Schizosaccharomyces pombe: one gene and its partner. The gene in region 2 interacts genetically with the main gene of each other region. Each region holds a gene or a part of one and is shown on either strand. Other genes may lie near its edges.

Region 1 (8,688 bases), on a different chromosome or scaffold from region 2:
CAAAAAAGGAAAAAGATAAAGCAAATAAAGTTAATACGTACTTTGTGAAATTCCTTCACTAGTTCGCTTTTCGCGGGTTCACTACCTGAACCAATAGCTTTAGCTTCATAACGGAAATATGTACCTGAAGGCTCAGAGTGGTATCTGTATAGGAAGTTAGCATCTTAACGAATTACAACAAAAGGAATCCAAACAATGGCAGGTGTACGAAGATAATCAAAAAACAAAAGCATTAACACAATAGCCACATCGTTCCATAAAAATAAAATAATTTTGACTTACAGTTGAGGACCATGCTCATCTATTCCAGCAATTAACAAAGCAACACCAAACGGTCTTGACATGATGCGTTCTTCGCCATCTTCTCCTTCACCAAAGCGAAGTGCGAGATCACAAATTGACTGGGTAGTACTTTCTATACCTTGTGGTTCATCATAGGTAAAACGATGATTTTGTGTTTGAACTCTAGCATGTTCAATAATTGTACGGGCATCAGCTGTTAGGCCTGAAATTGCGCAACCAATGTGTGAATCAATTTCAAACAGCTTTTCAACAGAATGAGATTCCATAAGTGGACTAGTTAATCTCTTTTCAACACCAAGGACGACGGCATCCTTAGTTTTCACACCAATAGCAGTGGATCCTAATTTGATGGCTTCGATTGCATATTCCACTTGAAACAACCGGCCTTCAGGAGAAAAGGTATTTACTCCTCTATCATATTCTAAAGATTAGCTTAAGAAACTTGTACAGTTTACTTACCTGATCTAGTCATAAACATTTTTAAAAGAGAACGTGTAAAGTAGTAGTTGCTGACTGACCAAAACCCAGCCAAATGATAATATCGTTAATATTCCCTATAATACGTTGCCTAATATATCGTAAACCAGATTATTCGTTACACTCCGTTATTAGTGAATATAAAAATTAAATAAAAATATGTACAGAGGAGAAAGGTAAACAAATGTTTATAATAGGTATATTGAAAATAATAATTCGAATTTGAAGATAAAAAAAAAACGAAACTGACTAATATACACGTTTCATGTTACAATAATTGATATTGTAGTGTAACCAAAAACAATCCAATAGCTCAATAGCTTTGGAAAAGAACGGAAAATATTATCCTTCATCTAAATTATAGAGTTTTTAAACTGCACGACCTACGACAATAGATAGCCAAAAGGATAGCAAGGAAGTAGCGTTTTGATAGGGCATTTGACGAATTTGGGAAGATACAAGGAAAATTAAGTCTTCTTTGGTTTCAGTTGAAAATCCTTGAATTGAATTCAAATAATTGGATAAGAATTGCTTTTGAGCAGCAGGAGCAAGAACACTTACTAAACTGATTGAAGCTTTATAAAAAATAAGGGCGTTGTCAAATTCATATCGTATAATTGGCTGAAACCATTTCAATAAAACATCTGTGAAATAATAAGCTATTTCGATGTTATAGTATAACCTTACTCTCGAGCAAAGGATGCTCTTCAGAGAGTCGAGATTCAACGTTTTGGTAAGCAAGAAGAGACACCTAGCATGAACATAAATGTCATTGTCTAGATAGTCTTTTGGAGAGCCCTCATTTAGATTACAAAAAAGACACGCATACAGCGACGCGTAAACATAATGTTTGCATAATGTAGATTCGTCAGATTGAGATATAAGTTTTTCAGCGAAACTAAGACCTAATGATGATATTTCTTTAGCAGTGGAGCTTAACGTTATAACTTTCTCGTTGACTGTTTGCTTTTCTAAACGTCGACATATGAGATTTTGCCAATTATTGATAAAACTCAAAGTTACCAAAACTGGAGAGCCTGATAGCTTTTGTAAGTCTACATATCCCTCGAGTTGAATTGAATCTATAATGGCTTCCCGCACAGTTTCCGAGATAAACTTGGCTGGTTGAGCAACACGACTCAAGCATGTTGTTATTACAAAATCCAATGTAGACCATGATGATGCAACAAAAGAGAATAGATACTCCATATGAAACAAAGTCAAAATAATATACTCACATAAAGATCGGTCTGCAGCCAATACATTGCTTTTACGGTACTGAGATTTTGCCAATGATTCTAAAACCATAATTATTGAGAAAAAATTTTTTTTAACAAACTGATGGTCATTATATTTAGAATCAGAGGAACGACTTTTCCAAGAGGGAATCGCCTTGTCAATTAGAGTTATTAACCTGCATCATTTAGTCTTCCAGAACAGTGAAGTCAAACACTAACCTTTTAATAATGCTGATTTGCTGATAAGTTGATAAGCGTAATAACAGATGGCACAAAACAGCTGTAGGCAAGGAATCCCGCTTGTGTTCAGTATCCAAATAATTGATGAAACCGCTCCAAACAATTTCTTCCCATTTCTGAGACAATTAGTATAAAGTTTTTTGGAGTTCTATATTTACTGCTACTTACCAATAAATGAGGGAGTAACGAAAATGCATCAAAAGAAATATCGCTCGCTGATGAATCGACAGATGCAAAAAGTTGTTGCAGTAAAAAATTGGCTTCAAATCCTGAAAATTGATGCGTTTTTATCTGTTTTGATAAAGCTTTGCTAACTGCTCTTTTCAAGGGGTATTGTAAGTTGACGATATGATCGCAACTCAATAGTTTGTAAAAAACGCAAAGGAGACAAATTCTTCGAAAGCAAAGAATTTCATTGCTTGCATCTACCTCAAGAATGCCTACAATGCTTTTCACGAAGGATGAAAATGGCAAACCGTTATTCGTTACCTTTTTCCTGCTTATCAATTCAACCCAAAATGCAAAGTATTCAGAACGATGCTCATTCCAATAGTCCCATATTCTACCGCAAGCAATCAATTGTGCTACCACCAGTCGAAGGTTCTGTTCATTATGTAAATTGAGTAAGACATAGTGTGTCTCCCATAGGACACTTGGATTGTTAACAAAATGGATTAAAAACCACCGGACTTACGTTTCTAAAGATATCGAGTCCTCTCGTAACAGAAGAAGCACGTTGTTAATGGCTTCTTCCATAATTAAAACGCAGTGTTCTGGAAGCCTTATTATCTTTCGTACGATCACTACCACAGAATCAAACTGCAACTTATAAATTGACTTATACGGAGTTTTCTCATTTCATTAATTACTTTAACAATCACCATATAAGCTGCTGAGCATATAGCGGCGGCCATATCTTGCAGCATGGCGTCTTTTGTCAAATTTGCCAATACGACATTCTTAGATGCGCGATTTCCCCTTTTCAAGAATGTGTCTTTTGAACTAGCTCGAAAGCAAAATTGGGCCATTATTGGAAACACTGGAAGTGGTAGGACTACATTCTTGCGCGTATGTTTTGTAATTTATGCGAAGTGTTTGGAGTAAAAATGCGCTAAAGCTTTAGCAATTCATCAAATTTACTAAATCAGCTTTGTACAATTCATTTTTGTCCCTTAGTCGGAAACCAAACACTTTTTATTATCATTAATTACATGGTAGTAACTTTACTAAATTGCTAACTCAATACAGTGTATACAAGGTTCCTTTACACCCTCACCCTCCACTAGTTTTTCATATCCATTCTTGAAAGGCAAATCTGATAGCCCATGGCAAGCAATCCAATTGCTTGATTTTAAAAGTTCTGGACAGCAGCGTGCCGCATACTACTCTGAAAGATATCATTCCTTTAGAGACAAAGAACATGACACTACATTGGAGAAGTGGCTTTTGGGCGCTTATCGAGGGAATGAGAAGTTTGCTTCTCAACATGTACAAGAGGCCGCATCTATGACTCAGTTATCTCATTTACTTCCTTCGAGTTTAATAAATTTGAGCAATGGACAATCTAGAAGAGCGATGCTTGCATCGAAACTTGTGCAAAGGCCGCAGCTTCTTTTACTTGATGAACCTTACGGTACGCTGGCCACTAAGGGGTGCAATTTATGTTAATACAATTACTAACAGTATTTTTTTTAGCTGGACTTGATGTTACTTCAAGATCTGTTTTGTCTTCACTTTTAGGTGAAATGTCAAACCATTGTTCGCCAAAGATTGTACTTTCCTTACGTCCTCAGGACAAAATTCCCGACTTTATCACACATGTATTGGAATTGAAAAATAAAAAAATCACATATCAAGGGCCCAAGGAACAGTATATTCCTATGACCAGTCACTCAACTAACATACCTGTCAAGCCCCAGATGAAAAAAAGCAAGCCTATTACAATAGGCAAGCCTTTAATTTCCATGGAACATCTCAACTGTGTTTACTGGGGACGAAAAGTACTCTCTGACATAAATTGGACTATTAGAGAAGGAGAAAGATGGGCTTTAACAGGTAGCAATGGAAGCGGTAAAACTACACTTTTAGCATATGTAGTTGGAGACCACCCCAAGTTATTTGCTAGCAATATTAAATTTTTTGGAAAAAGCATTGGGCCCGGCACTGGAATTTCTATATTCGATATCCAAGAAAACATAGGGCATTGTGTAAGTCTATAAAAGTAAATAGTCTTTAAAACTAACGACTTTTTAGTCTCCAGAGATACACAATCATTTCCCGAAGCAACATACATGCTTTGAAGCTCTTCTTAGCGCCTGGAGCACCACCTTTACCATCCCAAAGTTAACCGAAACTCGGTTGGCAGCAATTAGTAGCATCTTAGAGGAATTTGAACTAAAGGATATTAAAGATAAACCATTAAGCAGTATCTCGGTTGGCATGCAGAGATTTATTTTGTTTTGTCGTGCTATTGTCAAACAACCTCGCTTAGTTGTTTTGGACGAGCCTTTCCAGGGAGTAGATACCAAATATGTCCATATGGCGCATAATTACTTAAATGAAAAGCTCTCTCCTTCCCAAGCCATGGTTATAATTTCTCATTACGAAGATGAACTCCCTGCCTGCGTAAATAGAAGGGCTCACATTGATAATGGAAAACTTGTCATACATGCTTGATGATGAACATCCCTATTGAATGTGTATAATTCTTCGACTCCTTTCTAGGATTGTTTTTTGATTGACCCCAAAAATTTGAATTATTCATCCCAAATTGTATTACCAATCCGATAAATTCTTAGAATACTTAGTGTTTCACGCCCAGCTTTTCTTTTTAAAGTCTCATTAACAATAAACCCATCCTTTTGCAATATTTCACAAATAGAGTGTAACTTATTGCGAGCAACTGCAACCATGTAAAATACTCCGTCTTGTGAAAGTATATCCTATCCATAAATGAGTTATTAATGTAAATATAAAGGTCTGACCTTACCTTTAATTGGTTTAACAAAGTGCTAGTGACATCCATACCATCGGTACCACCAGCCCAAGCCGAAGCAATAGTAGCAGCTTCACTTGGTATTTCTTCGAACTCGGTAGGAACATATGGAGGGTTGAATATTAAAATATCAACTCCATTCCCGAGTCTAATTCCGTCAAGGAATGAAGTTTGTACGGTAATGAACAACCCATTATCGTCCTTATACAACTCACGATTATTCAGAGCAGTTATCTTACTAGCACGACACGCAGAATTTGAGATGTCGGACATAAAATGAACTAGACATCAGCATATTATATTTTGTGGTTTGCAACCGTACCAATTGGCTTGTTTTTCAAAATCCCACTTTTTAAAAATGAGGATGCACAGCCAGATCCGCAGCTGCAGGTTAATATCTTCACGATTTAACCAAAAACCTACCCAATTTCCGCTGTTAATAAGTTTTTCATTTCAGCCATTTGGCGCAATTTTTTGGCATCCTTTTCAAGCGCATCGAGCAAAGCAAACGTGTCCTCTAAAAGTGTAATTAGCAAGCTTTTTTGACCTTTTATAACATACCAGCTGGTTCATAAACATCTTGAAATTCTTTTAGACGCAACTGGGATGTAACTGGGGTCGAAAGCATTCGTTCTTACGCGTACCTACTTATTTGAAGAAGGACGTCAGACTGTGGTGCAAATGATATGAGAATGTTTGATTTGGGATAGGAACTTTTGGAATATGATGAATTTTTTTGAAATTTCATTTAATAATAAATACTGATTCTAATTATAATTTAAACGTTTCTGTCCTGCTATGAACACCGTCAAAGACGAATGTATTATTCAAAGGAAGATATTGTTGGGCTAGTAACTAAAGTAAAGTTAGTCCATAATAGTATTTGTATAAATTTTTCATACCTTTATAGTCTCTTGAGCTACAATACCACCTATAAAAGATGATATTGAATGAAGTTCATGACCATCAGCGCGTTCTCTGAAACTATTAGTAAAAAGTCAGAATAAGAAATTTAGCGTACAATTCTTGTATAGCTGTGTAAACAACGTCAAAAAATTTCTCTAATCCAATTTGGGACAAAAATGATTGAGCAACGCTGATTGTTTTAGTTGTATCACTGAACGCTTCTTTGTAATTTTTTCCATGTTTTTCAAGTATTGTATCATATATGCGAAACGCTAAATACCACGGAAGTAAAGAATTTGAGTCAATCGAGGATGATTCGAGAACTACGGTCAGACAAAAGCGAATACTGTTAACGTACCTGAGTTTGATGTAGGTTGATACTCCTCTTTCATTGTTTTGAAATCCATAACCTTTATATTTAAACAATTTCGAGAAAAATGCTTGATTTCTAAATCGGTTATCTCCTCGACTGATCGGTTTAAACGTTTCAGCGTTTGTTGAACGTATTTTTTGAATTTTAAAATATCATTTTCAGATTTTTCTTTGTAGCTGAAATATTAGTAATGGTAAAAGTTAAACAAAAAACGTACATGACCTGTAGCTTTACGTATTGTTGAGTAGAACAATTCATGTCAGGCAATAATCCAGATAGTGGAAGAAATTCTGTCTCATCATAGAACATTTTGAGACAATGCGCCATGATCCAAAAGCTTTCAGAATCTTCCTGAATTTTAACGCAGCGAGTATCGTGTAAAACTTCGTATACGTTGCTTGGCAACTATTTCATATTAATTTATGCGTTCTAAAAAATACAAATACCTTATATTCCTTAAAAGCCTTCCAAGAATTCGATGAAGCCTCTTCGATGTTTTCTGAATCACATTTTCCCTTGTATTCCTCCATTATTTTTCGAAACATAGCACAATCATCAGCTTCTTGTGAATTTTGCGCGTGTGCTGGTGAGACCTTTAATAAGACATGGATGATTAAGACTATATACGGTATTTCTGACAGAGAAGATGAGTCCATATTGTCCAAATCCATTGATTTTACATAATTAATTAGTTCAGGCCACGGGTTTTTCAGACGCAAATCTTGAGGCAATTCTGGTTGTGATTGAGTAGCTAACTTTAGTTAGATATCCCTCTTAAATAGGAACTTACTGGTATATTCATGAGTCGAAATTCGAAGTATGCCGGCAAAGCCAACTGAATTGAAGTGTAGCAGAGGAATCTTGTGCGATCGAAGGTACTCTTCTAAGCGAAAAAGAGGTTTTTCCTTTAAGTTTGAGGATAAGACTACAGAAAATTTTGAAAAATACTCAATGTTTTTATCTATTAAAGCTTCGGGGCTCTACAAACGTTAGAGTATATCGTCCAAACAGCCATACCATCTCTAAATATTCCATTTCGACGTTTGGATTAAGTTGTTGCAACAAAGATGCCGTACAGCGAGCTCTGGATTTTCCTTCTTGGTCGTACTGGATAAAAAAGTTCATTCCATCCATACTGAAATCGACAGAAGTATCATCAACGACAGCAAAAGAGCCAATCCCTATTACGTCTATTTAGTATAATTTCTTTAAAATATCCAATACCTGGCAAAATTAAATTTTTTAAAGCTTCACACCCTACAGTATTTGCATACAAAAGACACACATGCGACTTCTCAATTGCGTTCTGTCCTTCAGCTTTCCAAAGCCGTACTTGTCTATGATTAATAGTAAAGGATTTAATGAGTTTCATACCTATCGTATTTTTGCATTTTCGCAGAAGTTCCCATACTAGTTCAAAAGTATGACAAAACAGCTGGAAGTCGTTACGTGTAAATTACAGGTATGTATGTAGGAAGGAAGAAGGATGTTAATAAGACAGCTTGAACAAAATCTCTACGAAAATATATCAAATGAAATAAAAATAAATTTGGCTTGTAACAATAAAAATGGTAATTAAAGGGAACCGACGATATGACTAGGCCGGCTAAGTTTGATATTCTAAAATTGTGAAGCAAAATGAAACTACTTCCATTAGGGAAATATGGGCTTCTTGAAAACAACTGTTAAACTTCTGTACCTAATCAGCTTTTTTTGAGTATATGGCAATAGTATAGAGTCGGCGTGATAGTGACTCAAATACTCATGAAGAAAGACAAACCAACAATCAAAAAAGTAGAAAAGTCAAATTTTTTTTGGTAATAAGATAAATACTAATTAATTGTTAAGTCTCTAAATTTTTTGCAGAAAAAGGAATGGTAGAAACCAATTGACTACATGTGTAAACTGAATGACAGGCTGACAGGCAAAGATAATCAAACATATATTGTAAGATTGAGAGGATACGTTTTTATCGCGGATGTCTATTAAATAAAGTAATTATTAAAGCGGAAACAAAAGAAGAACGAGAATTCGGCAGTAAAATAGAATATCAAAGGAGTGGCCGAAACGAAAACTTATTAAACGTGGGTCAATCTATGACGAGCTTCTTGAAGAACTCTATGCCAATCAGTATTAAATAGAACAGTGAACTGACA
Region 2 (10,383 bases):
ACAATCGAATTCACGATCAAGCCAGTGTCTATCTTTGAAAAACCTTGTTTCATTTCGCTTGTAAAACTTATCCCAAGACTTTTTCGACTCCTTTTTATATTTTTCAACCCAAAAATCACTTAATTTTGATATACCACTCATATCTCCTAACAATTTCGTAGCACGGTCTTCTATATGTATGAAAGATGTTTCAAAATATTACCCAACCCAGTAGTTATTCCAAAAAATGCGATAAAAAATTTGTATGACAACGATTTACCCTACAACCTTCAATGAATACCAAACTGGCTCGATCAATTTTTTTTAAATTAAAAAAGCACTATTTTAAATAAAAAAATAACCAAACCTAGTTCGTTAATTCCAAATTCACAAATCAATGCACACTGTGCAGAGAGCGTCTTGTTCTTCCTTGTAAACCTACACCTATACCAATTCGCGCGCACCTTGTGATACTCGCAACTCTACAAATATACAATGAATAGGACTTCAGAAAGTGTGGAACCTCAACAAAATGAAAAAACAGCAGTGCATTGGAGCAGAGAATGGGTTCCTGTTGTTGTAGATACATATTCTAATGAAGATGATGAGGATAATGAAGAAGGAGATGAATCCAGGCCTCAACGAACATTTTTAGTAAAACGGTGGGTGCAAGATAATGTACAAGTGGAAAAGAAGGGAGACGAAGAGACTGCAGCAGCAGATAATTGAGAAAAAGTAGATGAAGTAGGAATTTAGAGTTGCAGCGTCACCTGCCCTTTGGAATATACCTTAGCACCTGCTTCCGTTACCTCGTATAAAAGCTCCTTGTCATCATCCTCCGGGGTCTCGCATATTCCACTACGAAAGTGATTTGGCATTCGAGAAAGACGCAGGAATCCGGTGATTCGTCGAGCGCTACCGCTAGTCAAAGGCCGACAGGAAATACATCTAGTTGCCATGTGTCCGATTGAAGAGCCTAAAGACTTTTGTTGTGGTAACGGAGCTCCCAAAGTCACGTTTACAATGACTCTACTGAAACATTTTCGTAATTCCAAAATTGCCTGCTGAATCTTTGTGGAATCGAGAGCATGAGTACTTTGTAAAATATCAATATCTTCTATGATGATCGTGGAGTTTTCAAATTCAAAATCGTTTTCCTCCACACATTGGATCACAGGCGCGAAAACAGATTTGATGTGATTTTTGGTTTCTGGTGCTTGTACCTTCGAAGGCTTGGAAATAGGAGCAAATAGCATGCTGAAGCCATCGATAAAGAAGAAATTTTTTTTCGTTTTAATATCCATTCCCTAATATTGGTTCAGTAGGTTAGTCATACGAATAGTTTATCATTCAACCACTTATGCAATCGTAATCCCTCTTTTTACATACCCATTTACGCATACTAATTGCATGCTCATCTAAGGTTTTACTGAATGTTAAAAAACAAGTACTTTCCTTTGCTTTCAACGCATGGTATAAATAATAATGGAACAGAAATGTGACAGGTGTTTCTCTTGTTCCCAGTAGCAAAGTTAAAGAAAAAGGCTCAGGAATGGGGCGTAAATGCTCGTGTAAAGAAGACATTAGGTTTAAGAGCCGTTTGTCATTAGTTTTATAGCCTAACTACAGTAACCAGCTTTCCGAATGGTTGTAGAGGGTGAATGGAAAACACAAGCCTGGGAACGGAGCAACATGAACCAGAGTAAGAATGAACAAGCCGGTCAGTAATGCAAAGCTAGTTCTAATATTATAGAAGTTTCAAGTATCAAATTAAAGAAGTCTAATACCAAATTATTTTCCAGAAAACTATCCTCTAAATGTGGATAAGCTATTTCATTAAAAAAAGAAAAACTATCTACCTATGGAACATTGATTTGCCTAAAAGGCAATCATAATAATAAAAAAGAACAATAAAGAGCAAATCCCAATAAATTAGACTGGAAAGGGGTTTAGCTAAAGGAGGTAAAACCATCTATCTATCATATAAGTCATAAAAACAAGCAGCATTACTTTAAAAATAAAAGAGAGCAGCCAAATTAAATATTAATAATTCCAGAGATTGGTGAGAACAAGGAATAGTTTTATAAACATTTGTTTCTGTACATTGTTCTCTGTAAAGTACAAAGGGCGAGCTGAAGGGGTCGACGACAAGGATGAAAAAAAAGAACAAAACATTATCCAGGTAAAAATTTTGAAGAGGGGAGTAATCTTTTTTATTCCGGTTATTAAAACCAAATTAATTTCGGTACTGAAAAGTAAATTGGTAAGGGGAAGATGAAAGAGTGTAGCATATATGCGTGAGCGATTTGAGCATTATTGTCTAGCAAATAAAAAATTTTTATTTCTTATTTTCTTTGTGAAGCCAAGGCATATTACACGTAAGACTTCCTAGTGGGACGAACGTAACTCACATTTTTAGGACGACAAAGGACAACCAGAAAATTGAGCCATATGCTGTCATGAAAAGGATGTACATCTTCAGTTTCTGTACTCTTTGCTCGTAAGTATTCATGAACATTCTGACCAACAGATATTAAATAGCACTGGTAACAGAAAAGGATGCCAGGAAGTATTGCTCCAAGTGCCCCATAAATGCCAAGGAAGAAAGATACGCCAGCCCATGGACGACGAAGATGCGCCGCAAAATTTGTATCTGTGGATTCATGAAAACTTCCTATAGAAGTATAGAACCCCAATCCAGTTAGATACAAAGCTGAAAGAACGACAGATAACAAAAAAATAAAATAATATCTGTAGTTTCGACGACCAATGCAAGTGTTTAACCAAATGCAGTGATGATCAAGGTATTCAACACAATTATCACATAAATGACAATGGCTTGCACGTGGAGGACGATATAAGTGGCACGTATGGCAATAAACTGTATTAACAAAGACAGAGTCAGACCGAGTGGATCCAACAAGGACTTTACGGTCTTCAGGAATTACAGACCAGGGATGGGCAGGGTTATAAGTTAAAGAATATGCATTTCTAGGAAGAATTCCTGGATCAGCAGTCGAGCACTTGAACATGGAAACAACGGCTAAGGCATACAGGTAAGCAAAGGTAATAGGGACAGCGGGAGAGACATGATGCCAGAGCCAAAAAGCAGAAAAGATGAAGAAAAGGACTCCTGGAAGAATCAAGGCAAACAAGCTAATGAGGAAAGCTTTGTACTGAGATGACATTTGCAATCGACCACAACATAAATAGATATTGTTTCCTGGTAAATTCTTATATCGGCTTTCAATATGCGGTACTTCCGGAACATCATCAGGAACGGATTGAAATCTATAAGGAATTTGGTTCTTTTCTTCCAAATTCATGGGATACGTTGGATCAGACAAAGTCACCTCAAATGGATTCCATGGCTGATTCCACGCGTAGCGGGATGCCTTAGCATCACTGTGTTTCTCATAGCTCATGATTATATTCTCTAAACAACAAACATGGCAAAGAAACAGCTATTTTTACACCTGGTATTATATCTTGTAGTTTTGTTGTCGGTAAGGATATGAACCCCTTTTGCGATGGAGGGTGAAGTAAATATTAGCATCCGCCAAAGTTTGTTTACTAAGCAAATAAAGAAATCAAAATAAATAAACAATTAGAGAATGTGACTCTAATAACTAATATTTGGAATGGCGCCTATTTAATCGATGAGAGTGTATTAAAAAGAGAAGGGAAATAAAAACAGAATATGAAATGAAATGCTAAAAAAAAAAATACTAACCGAAGAAATAAAATTAATAATAATAAATAAAGTACTTATTTTTTTTTTACGAATAAAATGTAAAAAAAATTATTTAAGAGTGCCAATATATTAGTATTTATATTTTTCAAACTTTTTATTTAAATATATTTCATCGATACTGTAATTGGAACATCCTGTCAGTACAACAATTCAGGGCTCAAAGTTAGAAAAATCAAGTTTAATAAATTATACTATCCGTGCAATTTCGGGTTTGTAAAGAAAGTGGATAATATATGGAAAAATTAGTAATATATGACTCGATAAAGACTCCAAAGACTAAGATAAAAGACCAATATCATGGGAAGTAGACTAGCTAGTAAACCATTTTCATCTTGTGTATTATGTTTTTTTTTTTTTTTTTTTTTTTTAAAATGGCTAAATAACTAGCAGGAAAATAATGGGAGGGTGTAATTGAGAAAATATTAGAAATGAAGGTACGGAAGCAACGAAAAAAGATCTTAAAAGTTTATTAGAGTGTTGCAACTATTGAAATTATGATTATCGCGAAGCTATTAATGAAAGGGCTAATTTAAAGGATCATCTCTATACTTTCACTAGCCCCGAAATAACCCAATAACCTCTATGGCTTGTAAACAAATAACTCAAGAAACACGGTATATGGTCAGTTATGGATGAAATTTTGAAGAAAAATTATTACTAATCTACATCTAAGAAAAACCATCCTGGCTTCATTCACTGTATTTAGTGGAAATGTAGTTCACAAGATTATCGAATTAGATTGTTATTCCTCAATATGCATGACTCCAAGCGGTCCTTTGGTTTTATTTCCTGTTTTAAAGGGAAATGAATTAAATTCTTATTCCTTAGAAAATCTCAATGACGCTTTTAAACGTACTTGTACATTGGACCTACTTTACTGGAGAAACATTTGCGGTCAGCAACTACTATTAAGTTACTAACCTCATGGCAGCTAAATTTTGAAAAATGACTATATTTATTTATAATGGTACGAACCATTTTTATTTGTTTGCGAAGTTTTTTAGTGTTCTCTTCTTATTATTTACAAATATAATCTTAGGAAAAGTTTAGTAAATAAGTGTCCTAACAAATTCTATAGTATAATACAAGGGTAGAGGTAGTATCTGAAAAGTATTATAAAACTGTATAAAGCAATATAAATACAAGGGCGGTTCGATCCCGATTGCAAACGCTGGAAAATCTAGAAATATTGGAAAGTTGCTTCTTTCACCACTTTAGTAGAAGGAGTTGGTGATTATTATGATATTATTATCCATTCAAATTTGAATCTCTTAATGCGCACCGTTGCTACGTCTTGTCTGCGTCAGGTGGCGATCCCCATAAATATTGATGCTTGTCATAAATGTTGCGAATGTTCGCCTACGTATTTCATTTTGACATTTACAATCATAAAAGGATTTTAGATCCTTTCCATCTCGAAACAATTAATCAAACTATTCAAGCGAACAAGAACTTTTTATTTTTGGAACCATCATGTCAATTATGCGCTCAATTATGTCGAACCGCCTGGTTCGCTGGTCAAGAGAATATCCAGAACTATTTGTAAGCTCAATTTTTTTTTGAAAAATATATTGAGTTGATTATTTCGTAAGCTGATCAGTTTGCTGTTAGATAACTTGGTGTGTCATGACTTATACCTTTGGAGTTGCTGGTTATATGCTTGGTATGTTAAAAATTAGTAGAAAATTAGAAATCAGCGCAGTTAATGAAACATTATACTCAATTTTAATATTCTGTTAAAATTTTCCTACAGAATATTTATTTTACAAGCGCATTTACATATGATTGTTTAAATTAAATGATTGTAGCTAACAGTTTTTTAGGACAGCGGGGCTTGTTGGTACAACATGAAGATCAAGTCCGAATTCCTTCAAAAAATGCTCACCCCTGGGAAGACACCAAAAGCAGTAGCGGAAAAAGTGATGAGAGTCTTGATTATAGCTACAAGTATTATCCTCGAGGAGATAGGAGTAAAGAACCTCGAAAGGCACCTTCTGCTATTCAATACAGCACTTTTCCCGTTAAAGGTGTATCAGAAGAGGTACTTGAGCGATTCTCTAAGTAAAGCACATTAAATTGTGTATAACCTTTTAGGAATGAAAGAGAACAATTATTACATTGCCAAATATTTTTTTAGTGCTTTTTCACTTTACAAATATCTCACTCTCTACTTTATGGTAGGCTCTCATTTTTGGAATATTTGCCCTGATATATTGCAATATTTCCAAACATCTTCTTAGTTATGATTTCTTGCTTTATTGCTTTAATGTATAAAAAAAATATTTGCTTATTAACCTGTGTTTGAAAACGGAGTTTAGGCACCACTTTACCAACTTCACAATTTATACAGCATTTTGAAGATAATGATAAATTTGTAAACAATAACAAAAAATAAGCTTGTTTGAGATTTTCAAATAACTTAAATTGACCTAGTACTTGTTGTCGTTTAACGTTAAGCTTAATCAATAGCCGAGTAATTAGTAAATGGGACTTGCCGAAAACAACGCTTTTCAACTTAGAAAATTTAGCAAACCCACTCATACCTTTTAATAAGCATGGTCAACGCAGCCATAGTTGTTTCCTCAAATCGTCCAAATGTGCTTGAACAGATTTCCTCCTTGTTTAGAGATGGGAAGACTCGTTCTCTGGGGGAACAGTGGACTTTAGTATCAGGCCAACTTAAAGGAACGTTTGAAGATGCTAAAGACGCTTGTAACCGCATTTCTGCTACTGAGAATGTAGACTGTAATTGCTTGAGTGAAGCAACATTTTCCACTAAAAAGAAGCTTGTAGTATTTGACATGGACTCGACGTTGATTCAACAAGAGTGTATTGACGAGCTCGCGGCAGAAGCAGGCATCCAGAAAGAGGTTGCTACGATTACATCTCTTGCAATGAATGGGGAAATTGACTTTCAAGAATCACTTCGTCGTCGCGTTTCTCTACTACAAGGGTTGAGCGTCGATGTCATAAATAAAGTCATTGGCAAAATTACTTTCACTCCAGGAGCTAAACAGCTTTGTCATTGCCTTAAGCAAATGGGTGCGACTCTTGTTGTCGCTAGTGGTGGATTTGTTCCAATGGCTGAATATGTCAAGGGACAACTGGACTTGGACTATGCATATGCCAATGTACTTGAATTTTCCGATGATGGTAAATTCCTCACTGGAAAAGTTCAAGGTGCAATTGTAGATGGACAACGAAAAGCTTCCATTTTGCGTGAAAAGAGGGAAGAGTTGGGTTTAAATAAGCTCGAAACGATGGCTGTTGGGGACGGAGCTAACGATTTGGTCATGATGGCCGAATCCGGTTTAGGAATTGCGTTCAAAGCTAAACCCAAAGTTCAATTATTGGTATGTTCGAAATTTTTTTACAAATTTATGTTTTTAATGATCTTACTAACTCGATTTTTTTTTTTAATTAGGCTGATTCGAAAATCAATCTTCCATCTTTGCAAAACGCTCTTTACCTCTTGGGTATTGATGAGCAACAACAAAAAAAGCTATTGGAAAACAAAAATTAATTTAGAATTTCCAAGAATTTTTCAATCGCAAGGCGCTGTCAAGAACTCTGAGCTACTGTGGCTTGGTTTTTATAAAGCAATATTTTACTTGTGCGCGTGGTCTTTTTTTCTGTAGTAGGAGCCGTCTTTTATATACCCTACTTCTTTATTTTTGATACTCTTATTTTTCTTTTTCCTTAATTTACAATTTTGGTATGATCAATGCTTCATTGGAAAGGGTGTGCAATGAATGCTTAAAAAAAAAGGGGCAGTTCAGAAGCTTTCTTCTTTAAAACAGACAAGAATTACTCAATTGGTTTTTATAAAGCCGATCATTTACTCTTAAATCTGCTTCGTTATGCTGATAGACTTTGAAATTGATTCGTGCAATGACTACACCTTCGTTTCATAGACCTTTCTTTATTATCATTTATTAATTGTAAATAATACAATTGTATCTAGTTATTAAGAGTTGCAGAAAACATGTGCTTTTGACGTATTTCAACACCGTTTCCCTTGTATATATTCAGAGGTATTCATATACTACTACCCATGCGAGATTCATTATGGCTAAATCACCATTCCTGGAGCTTTCTTACGATATATTGCTAGAAATTAGTACATATCTTGATTATAAAGATATAGTTCATTTGTCAGAAACATGCAAGTCACTTTCGTATGTTTTTGACGACAAAACAATTTGGCATCGATTTTGTGCACGGGTCCAAGGTCTCACCAATGTAGTCCCAGTTGTTGATGATAATTACAAAAGACCCTATGCTGTATGGAAAGACCGAGGATACGCTTACTCATGGGGGCAACAGATAAGAAACTATTTGGGCCGCGTCGTCAATACAAATCAGTATCCTCGAGATCGTCCTGGTGCATTGACTGGGAAGGACGTTCGTTCTACTATTCAGGTTCAAGTTGGGTAAGCGCATAGATACAGGAATTTATTTGACTGCACTACAATGACTAACTATTCCCTATGCGGAATTTAGAGGTTATGGGATGTATTTATTAAATGAAAACGGAAATTTATATGTTACGGGGGTACCAAACAATGTTGGGCCCGAATTGATGAGAGATTTAGAGCCAATTGTGAAAATCCATGCTGGTCGAGAGTTTTGTCTTGCACTCGGTGAGACGGGACACTTGTATCAAGTATCTCTAAAAACACGAATTTGCTTGACAGATGAACAAAATATGCTATCAGCCTATCGCGGAAGAATTGCTAATTTTAAATCAGGTTGGGACTCGCATTCGGCGTATGTGCCGGGCATTGGCTTTCTTGTCTGGCACACTGGACGAGAAAGTGAAGCGCAACTTTTCCAGCCAGAGGCATCGATGAAGGAATTCGTGCTGAACGATTATGTTCACTGCGCAGGATTCCTAGTGTATACTGTCGCATCACCTCAGAAAAAAGGCGCCGTGTTTCGTTTAGACCTGGACCAAGCTACACAACACACGCTAGGAAGAGAATTGAAGAGGTTCGCTTCGCACGACCCCCATCAAGGTTGGCATTTAGCAGGCAGCTTTGAAACTTTCACATGTTTATCGGACGATGGCAATACTGTTTACATGGGTCATGCTAATACCAAGCAGGTCGATGATGACCCGGTTATCCACGACTTTCTCCAGAACCGAGGAATTAAGCAATTGGCGCATGGCGATCATCATCATCTTTACTTAACAAGCGATCATTCCATATGGTCGTGGGGTGTTGAATTACGTTATTGTGGGTGTTTAGGTTTGGGTTCTCTTCATTTGCAAGAACAGACATCTGATCCCAGCATTGTTTCTGATCCACGCACCGCACGCAACATCGTTTCCATTCCACATCAAATTCACTTTTCAGGAACTTGCTATTCAGTTGCAGCCGGCGGATGGCAAAGTGCTGCTCTCGCCATTTCGGAATCTGTTTTACCCGAAGTCAATGTGCCTCCAATTACAACTTTTTCTATCATCCGACCATCCAGAGTTCCAGCGTTGCGCTTTTTAGCTGCCCCTGCGACTCGGACTTTGGAAAGGGACGGCTAGGTGAAATAGTGATCAACTTTGCTTGGTAAGCTAATTTCCGCGTGCGCACTAGAGAAGGATTTTATTTTGTCCGCTAAGTAAGTGAAATAAATAAATATCTCGGCCACCTCGGACTTCCGAATTTATCTCTATTTTTACTAATTCCTCTAGGTAAGCCAATTATAAAAAAAAGCAGCACAAGGAAAACACAACGGTGATTAAATAAGTGAGAAAATTTTTTTTCCTTCTTCCTGTATCGCAATTACATAAAGTACACACATTGACCAATTTATATTCCTGACCCCTGTGAATTAAGTTACTGTGCTACTACGACGAGTTTTTACCAAACATTATTATTTTTTTTAATTGATTTGGACTGTAAGGAAGGTTACCGATTTTCATATTAAATCCTCGGTGGTCAAAATTTGTTGGGCTCTTGCTCTCTATTTGTCGTTTGCGTTGGTGGTTTGTAATATTCCTAACCACCCCATTTTTTTCTGGCGACCCTAACTTGGGGGTTTTGTTTACAGATCCAGGTGTCGAGAAAACCGGTATTTTCAGGCAGAAATCGATCTTAAGAGACGATTTTTTCTTGTTGGGTTGACTACCTTGTACCTGAAATCTGTTGTGCGAAAATTTCCAGATTTAAAAAATCGTGGATTGATTGAAGGGCAATTGAAGATTACGGGATGCTATTTTCCTTTTCATGCAATTAGCAAGTATTACTGATTTATTTGTAATTCCACAGTGTCTGATTTATTTTTGTTAACAACTATATTATAACACTTTTTTTTCTTTGCCTTCATCATCATCATCATCATCATCGTTGTTCTTTGTTTCTTTCAATAAGCATTTTGTCATTTTCTTTTATCATTATTGTCTTTTTTTCATATTTTTGTCGGTTGACTGATTGATTGTAAATAAAGTCTCATAGTTATATAGAGTGTGGTTTGCCTTTTCTTATTGTTTCGCCTTGTCTTGTCTTGTCTCGTCTAGTGTTGCTTGTATTGTCTTACCCTATCTGTTCTTTTTCTTCACTTTTGTTTTAACTGCGAATTTTCTTTCTTACTTTTTTGCTTTTCTTCCTTTCCTATTCCTCCACTATAAAGTTTTCGGCGTTTGATCATCT

The links.
Region 1: mutations in ser2 (region 2) and pex8 together harm fitness more than expected from each alone (negative genetic interaction), as found in Schizosaccharomyces pombe (one large-scale study listed by BioGRID).

The regions. Positions count from the first base shown.
Region 1 is NC_003424.3:3,909,591-3,918,278, forward strand, and holds pex8 (protein Pex8), read right to left. Parts: upstream 3,034-8,688; 5' UTR 3,015-3,033; coding exon 2,953-3,014; intron 2,911-2,952; coding exon 2,427-2,910; intron 2,375-2,426; coding exon 2,238-2,374; intron 2,195-2,237; coding exon 1,150-2,194; 3' UTR 945-1,149; downstream 1-944. Other genes in the region: proteasome core particle subunit alpha 5 Pup2, read right to left, coding at 42-144, 283-724, 763-781; SPOM_SPAC323.04 (ATPase), read left to right, coding at 3,183-3,326, 3,507-3,891, 3,954-4,465, 4,512-4,934; eRF1 methyltransferase Mtq2, read right to left, coding at 5,015-5,200, 5,248-5,534, 5,576-5,637, 5,677-5,770, 5,815-5,881; NEDD8-activating enzyme uba5, read right to left, coding at 6,025-6,108, 6,156-6,231, 6,275-6,482, 6,518-6,708, 6,750-6,937, 6,979-7,283, 7,323-7,512, 7,550-7,713 and 2 more; SPOM_SPAC323.07C (MatE family transporter), read right to left, coding at 8,611-8,688.
Region 2 is NC_003423.3:1,864,046-1,874,428, forward strand, and holds ser2 (phosphoserine phosphatase Ser2), read left to right. Parts: upstream 1-6,245; 5' UTR 6,246-6,288; coding exon 6,289-7,086; intron 7,087-7,150; exon of another isoform or gene 7,151-7,157; coding exon 7,158-7,256; 3' UTR 7,257-7,704; downstream 7,705-10,383. Other genes in the region: trm141 (actin binding methyltransferase), read right to left, coding at 1-141; protein tam8, read left to right, coding at 475-708; elongator complex subunit Elp6, read right to left, coding at 732-1,286, 1,369-1,563; palmitoyltransferase Erf2, read right to left, coding at 2,352-3,404; SPOM_SPBC3H7.08C (uncharacterized protein), read left to right, coding at 5,207-5,275, 5,345-5,396, 5,557-5,798; F-box protein Pof9, read left to right, coding at 7,802-8,166, 8,237-9,275.